Tribolium castaneum: one gene and its partner. The protein of the gene in region 1 binds, or shares a complex with, the protein of each later gene. Links are inferred from orthologs where the notes say so. Each region holds a gene or a part of one and is shown on either strand. Other genes may lie near its edges.

Region 1 (4,438 bases):
CCCTAGGCCCTGGTGCCGCCCAGGCATCCTGAACTGATATAGCCAAATCGAACCCTCACTGACACAGCTTCCTTGATTAGTGAAGGGAAGTACCCTTTACACGGCTGGTCGCATTGAACAAAAAAAGTGTTTTTTGACAGCTTACTTTATTGTAGCGCCATCTATTAGTTGCTGCTGAAAAATTCACTTGGTGTCAAAGGTGACAGCCGTCATATTTTTTACAAATTTAAGTTTTCAACCTCTTTTGCACAAGATTTATACAAAATTTTGCCAACAGGAAGGCAAGACAAAGCTTAGTTTCATTTTTTTTCCACAAGTTTTAATCAAAATTTGAAATGCAAAGCATTTCGACACTAATGGGTACATTTTGTACAGTTGGTTGCAAATGCGTTCCAACACTCTTTTGATCATTTTCGTGAGCATAAAAATGTTTGTTTACCATTCGGCAAAATGTTCAAGTTTGTATGACGCTTTTTACGTTCGTTTTGTGTTTCGCAGTTCGCTCTTGGCATAGGCTCTTGGTCACTCACATGGCAACATGCGCTTTTGGTTCCTCACAGTAAAAACACGTGCCAAATGTTTGTAGAATACGTTTTCTACAACTATACAGCTAATACTAATGCGTTTTGCCTTAGAAATCTTCTGCACTGACAGCAGTGTGACAACACTTAACCTTAGAACTGTCAGAATTGTTTTACTTTATAGTGGCTCCCTCTCAGAAACAAAAATATGCCATGGAACTAAGCAATGCGGCCAGCCGTGTGAAGGGAAAGTTCCTTCATTAATCAAGGAAGCTGTGCTCACTGAAATAGGATTTACTGATGATGCGGATAGATGGCCTTAGTGTTTTACGGGAAAAAGAAATCCTATTGGCGGATTTAAAATTTCATATTACTGAAGAAAAACGTGGTACCGATGCGCGGCTGACAAGTAAAAATTTCACAAACGTCAGCAAAATTTGAGTTTATTTTTTATATCACGTTAATTTTTCAAAGTTTTATTAAGATAGTGGTTCAAGGTGTCGTGTTTGGGTTAGACTATTGCCTACTATCGGTTAGGAACAACATGATCTCCAAGAATATAACGTAGTAATGAGCTCCAGAAGGTTTTCATTGATAGGTGCGTTTTTTCCAAAAGTGAGTTTTTTGAGAGCGAACCGCAAGTGAGTCACACTGTGAGGAGATTCCCATAGACAGAAGTTGCTAACATAAGGTGCCAGTTTGGCTGATTGCAAGTATGTCTTTATCATCGATGCGGTGACGACTATTAGTTTTGTAAACTTAATGGATTTAATAAATATCTTTAATATTAAATGTGTTTAGATCGTGTCATGTTGGGTAAAATTCTTCTATTTGTGCTGTTTGTGCATCCACCTTTTCAAATACAATTAGAAAATTTTCATAATAATTGTATTTGATAAGGTTTTGACATCATTTTGACGTGAGCAAAAATTTAAAAAATACAAAGTAATCGGGATTATTTAATTCGCGCCATTTTTAGTACGTGATGATGCGGCTAGATGGCTCCAGCTAGGAATTCATTGCCAACCATTATGTTCCGCTTCTATAAAAGTGTTATTCTAGGGTGCCGCCATATGTGTCACATTTTATAAAATCTTGTTAGTTTTTGCATAAAAACGGTATAAAATGGCCCAATTTGATTTAACTTCCCGCATGGGGCAATATTTGGATCGGCACTTGGTGTTTCCATTGTTGGAATTTTTGTCGGCTAAAGAGGTACAGTTTTTGAGGTTATGTTCATTCGGTTGATTCCGAATTTCGTAGATTTACGATGAAACGGAATTGCTTAAAGCCAAATTAGATATTTTGAGCAAGACCAACATGATCGATTATGCTATTGACATCCGAAAGCAGCTGTATCCAAATGAAGAAGTTCCTGAAGATCTGAAGCAAAGGCGTCAACACGTTGTAGCTCAGTTACAGGAGCTTCAACAGGAAGTGCAACCAATTTTGAAGATTATGGCCGACGATGAGGTCATGAAGAATATGGAAAACATGAGGGATTCGAAAACTTTGATTAATTTCCTTTCAAAGGATTACAAAGTAAATACAATGTGTTCAAAAATGGTTGTTCACCCAGTCGACTATGGAAGTCAAAAACAATGTTCCGCTTCGTTCAAATCATTATTGTAGTGTTTGAATACTCTCATCTCTGTCAAATCTTAGCTTTTTACTCACTTTTTTGCATTTCTCAAGTGTGGGGTTTGCCGTCATTTGTGTTTTACATCTCGGTGAAATTTGTTGTGTACTCTTTCGTTTTTAGATTTGAAGTTTTTTTGCATTAATTTGACGGTTTTGTCGCTTTTGACGGCATTCACAATTTAAATTAAGTGGCACATTACGTTCAAATTTCATAAGTGACTTGCAATGAACAATCATTTCTGAATAGTGTGTTTGGACGAATACATTTTTGCAAAGAAAATGCACGTCAAGCTAATGAATGTTTATTTTAAAAAAAGAAGGATAAATTGAAGAAATACCTTTATTTGTAACTTATGACCTACTTAAACACTACTTTAAAACACTATATTTAACATGAAATTAAAACAAAGAAAAATAGGAATGATATTTGACAATTAATTGTTTGAACAAAAAAAAGATAGATTTTTTTGTAATTTCAATCTTTATTGGCTTCAATGACGACTCAACTTAGCGCTGGCATACTTTTAACGAATCCCTTACAAAATTCTGGCGTTTTATTGTTCCAAATATGTTCTATTTTATTTTTTAAATCTTTCAACAACTATTGAGGAAGATTTGTAGGATACCTTTTTACTTTGTGCCAAAAAGACTCAATGATATTTAAATCAGAGCTGTTTGCTAGCCACTCAATAAACTGACGTGGAAGTGTTATTGATGTTAACGAAAATATTTAATATAATGTTTTAATTTTTCTGATATGATATTAGTTAAGCAAATAATAATAATAGGTATTTATAAAATACAAAATATAAAAACTTGATTAATCGAAATTTAATTAATTCTGCAGTGTCTTTCTGGATCAACGGCGTATAATGCTATAAGCAAAAAATTCTTAAGAAAAATTTTTACGAACTTTTTGCACAAAACATTTAAGTATTTCAGGTGTTCTAAAATAACATAAGAAATAATAACTTTTGCAGCGTTTTAATATCATGTAATTTGATTGCGATTTTATGCAATTAATGAATTAGTAATTGTTAAAAAAAATAAAAAAACAATAAACTGCCAAGGAAGTTTTATTGATGTTACGAAAATATTTAATATTCAAAAAAATTATTTAATTCTACTAGTATTAGAAGTTGTTACCATTTAATTAATAAAATAAAAAAAAACTGTGGGTCGGTCTACAGACAGCGAAATTAAAATTTAATTCCGAATTAGACTAATTCGAGTTTAAGTTGTCATTTAAAATGCATTGGCAAATGTCAAGTTAATCACTAATAAAAATTTTATTGTAATTGAAATATTCTGTAAACTTCTTTGTTTAATTTAATTTCGCAGTTGGCAAGTAAGGTATAATCCTGCTTTTTCCGTAAATTTGTGCTAATGCGAGAAGGGTTAGCTGGTTTGATCTTCCGGTGATTTCCGGGGCAAATTGTTCAGTCAGTTACAGAATTTGTTATCACTTATAATGCAACAAAAATTAATGAAAACTTAAAAGCAATTAAAGAATGTTGGCATATTAATTAGTCACACAAAAATCAGTGTTTTCTATTAAATACTTAATTTTTTTCTCAAAGATTTTTTTTTATTTTTTTTTACATTTCCTTAAATAAACATGAATTACTAAAAATTATGTTAATAAAATTGAAAATATTATTCCGTGTAATTAATTAATTATTAATTTTATAATTTCAATAGTGTCTTTTAAATGAATGATATTTTAAGCAAAAAATTCTTAATAAAATTGTTGCTAACCTCAAAATTTCGATTTATTAAATTTTAATATTTTATACAATGTGTTTTTAAATGATTCTCATCCAGTTAACTTTGAAATTGGTTTACATGTAAAAAATTGTGCCGCTTTGCTCAATTGAATCCTCTGTTAATAAATGTAAAGTCTGTCAGTTGGCAAATTCATTTAATTTGTTTTAAAAACTTCGTTAAAATGTAACTAAATTATTATACCGTGCAAGAAAACACTTTTATTTTTTAAGCTTACTTTATATTTGGAGCCTTAATAAATGGAGAATGGTAATATTCGATGTCTAAATGCCTATCATTATTTATATGAAGCGGTATTTTCTGATTTTACTGTAGAAATTCACAGACGACTAGATGAGAATTATTTAAAAACACATTGTATTATTTATTAATATTTATTTTATTTTTTAATTAATTAAGGGCCAGTTTTATAATCGAATTTAAAGGAGCATTAAATTAAATGTTTAGAATGTGAAATGTCCACAAATCCATAGTAACCAGCACATTATAAA
Region 2 (3,142 bases), on another chromosome or scaffold:
ATTTAGAAAAATTCAATACAGTTTTGATACTTTTTTAGTTTTTTCAAACTAAAAATTTTCAAAAATTTCATAGTGGTGTACCTTCACAAATTATGTACCTGTTTGCTACAACTCTAGATTATTCGATAACTTATTTTAAAAATGATTTCAATTAAAAAAGATTATTCGATAACTTATTTTAAAAATGATTTCAATTAAAAAATGGTGGAGGCGCCGGGTTGTTTATTTAGTAAAATTTTATAATATTAATAATAAAATGCTAAAATGAGTTTTCTCATTTTATTTTATTTTATAAATTGTCCTAATTTATATACAGGTGTCTCAGTAATGTGAAAAAGTCCATTATTGGCTTAAATTTTAGAAAATTAATTTGACTCACCTAAAATTATTTTCAGGTATTATAGGGTATTTTTGAAATTAGCTAAAATGCAAACATATGTTTTTTTAAATAGAACACCCTATATTTTTTTGCACTTTTATATAATTTATAATAATTTTCAAAGAGGACTAGATTTTTTTTTGATTTTTTTTTCAGTTTTAAAAATTATTTTCAGAATTAGATAAAGCAGTGACCGCATTTTAAAAAACTTTCTCGCCTACAGCCCGAGTAAAAGAATGTATCCTGGAAATCAGTTTAAAAAATGTGCTGTAGAACACTGTGGAATGTGACCAAAATTCGACTCTTTTTAGCTCCCTTTATTATAGTTTGGAACACATTTCTTTGGCAACCCATTGAATACATCCTTTGGATATTATGTTTGATAAAAAATAAGTTTCATCCAGTAAGCAGATCGGTCCAGGACGACCTTAGCTGGGATCCTCTATTAGCAAAATCAAATTTTTTAAAATCACGTTGCTCAATTTTTACATATTTCTCTGAATGGACGAAAATTTAATTAGATCTAATTTAGCATTCCCTTTATACATAATCGTATTTTTATTGGATTTCAGAGACATTTCAAGTTATTTTAACTCAATTTCTCTTTTTTATCTAAGGCGGCGCAGAATGTTTCTTCTCTAGAAGGCTGTGAAAGATTTTTTCTAAAGCAACAGAATCGTAGCCGTAGCCTTCTAGAAGGATACCTAAATTTTCACAAATGTCTCAATTGGCGACAATACATTTATAAATAATAAGCTGCATTTCTGCACATCATCAGAAGCAACATGAACCAAAATATCAACTATTTTAATGTAGGTATACTTACGGCGTTACACAGTTGCGACAGAAAGTTTCACAAGCAAAAAAACTTTATTATAGCCAATAAACGGATGCAAATTTAACACTCCCGACACAAATTTAACTAATTTAAGAATGCAAAACATTAACTATTGGCAAAAGAACGCAAAACACAAGTCACACATTTTCTGTGTACAAAATCTAGTAGTTGATGGTTTTCAAAGCCACCTTTCCGAATAAGTTTCCCAATTTTAAAATTTCATTACAGAATCCTGTAATTATGTGTTTGTGGGTTTGTAACACGACAGCCCCGTTTGTCGGGGTTTATTTATTAATCGGTTTATTAAATAAATTTTAAAATACATGGCTTTATTAAATATCAACAAAATTAAATTGTATTGCAAAAAACAAAAATAAATAATTTGCAACGAAATTCCCCAAAGGTTGGCGAGTCTGTTGTTTGACAGTTTGAGGTTAACTTTTGTGAACGTGATTGTCGCACCATATTTTCCAAAAAAACGTTTCAAAATTAGCTAAAAATGCCTGTTGCCGAAGAGGTCAAGTCCAGCTGGGCTGACGAGGTGGAGTTGGAGGGCGGGTCGCTCCCGCCCCCGACCGAGGTGTACGAAAACGGCTTCAAGATCGTGACCGAATACGCGTACAACGAAGACGACAAAAAAATGAAAATCGTGCGGACCTACAAGATCGAGAAGCGCGTCGTTTCAAAATCGATCGCTTTCCGCAAGACTTGGAAGAAATTCGGCGAGTGTGCCAACGACAAGCCTGGCCCGAACCCGGCCACCACGATCGTCGCCGAGGACGTGTACATGCAGTACATCACGAGCAAGGAGGAGGACAACAAGCAGGAAGACGACGCTTTGGAGAAGCTGAAGGCTCTGGGCGACAAGAACGTGGTCAAGTGCCGCACCTGCAGCGGGGACCACTGGACCTCCAAGTGCCCCTGGAAGGACACCATGCTGGCCGGGGGCAAAGTGCCCGACGACAAGAAGGGCCCGGCGGTTCCGTCAGGGTCGGATGCGGGCAAGGCCGGGGGGTCCAAGTACATTCCGCCGAGTTTGCGAGATGGGGCCGTCAGGAAGTCCGATAATCTCAATATGGCGCGCAGAGACGACGCCACGGCGATTCGAATCACCAATCTTAGTGAATCTACCACTGAGACTGATTTGGAGGATCTGGTGAAGCCGTTTGGCCCGATCCAGAAGTTGTATTTGGCGAAAGACAAACAAGCCGGTTATTGCAAAGGATTCGCTTATATTCATTTCAAGTTTAAGAACGACGCTGCTAAAGCCATTTCTATGCTTAATGGACACGGTTATGATCATCTTATACTCACGGTGGATTGGTCTAAGCCACACCCTAATTGAAATGTATTTTATAAGTTTTATTTGTATTGAATAAAAATGCTTTAGCTAATGTTGCGTTTTTTCAAACCTACAATACAACAAAATACGTAGACATTTCAGTTTTAAATAATTCGAACAGAGGTGAAGATTGGTACAGGTCTTAGGTACACTATTAAAATAAAATATAGAAAATTCTCAAGTGTTGAAACTATCAGCTCTTAGCATTTTTCGCGTAAACGGTAGGTAAACATTACGGTAACTTCTCGGAAAAATAAAAAATCCCAAGCAATTGAGTTTTTTTAACTCGAGAGGTTTGTAAAGGCATACAATACCTGATAGAACTTTGCTAAAGCTAGTTAATTGTTTTGTTTTTTTTGAAAAGGTAAAAAATCTTAGACAATAGTTTAAGAAGTCTGCAAAATATTAACTATTGCTGGCTAATTTAGCAAATAAATAAGGTTGGTTTTTGGTTATAAACTAACCAATAAAAATAAAATAAAAGGTTAATAAACTAACTAAAAGATTTATTAACCAATCAAAGAACCTTCTGGTTATTTAATATTAATAAGTAATAACTTGACTGGACAATAATTAAAATGCG

What was found.
Region 2: eIF3e (region 1) and eIF3g1 share a complex: the UniProt entries of both Homo sapiens proteins name them as parts of the eukaryotic translation initiation factor 3 (eIF-3) complex. The link is inferred for Tribolium castaneum from reciprocal best matches to the Homo sapiens genes EIF3E and EIF3G.

What each region holds. Positions count from the first base shown.
Region 1 is NC_087394.1:22,552,175-22,556,612, forward strand, and holds the start of eIF3e (eukaryotic translation initiation factor 3 subunit E), read left to right. Parts: upstream 1-1,558; 5' UTR 1,559-1,646; coding exon 1,647-1,736; intron 1,737-1,784; coding exon 1,785-2,063; intron 2,064-4,438. UniProt on the Homo sapiens protein: Component of the eukaryotic translation initiation factor 3 (eIF-3) complex, which is required for several steps in the initiation of protein synthesis.
Region 2 is NC_087395.1:17,787,555-17,790,696, forward strand, and holds eIF3g1 (eukaryotic translation initiation factor 3 subunit G), read left to right. Parts: upstream 1-1,599; 5' UTR 1,600-1,716; coding exon 1,717-2,562; 3' UTR 2,563-2,611; downstream 2,612-3,142. UniProt on the Homo sapiens protein: RNA-binding component of the eukaryotic translation initiation factor 3 (eIF-3) complex, which is required for several steps in the initiation of protein synthesis.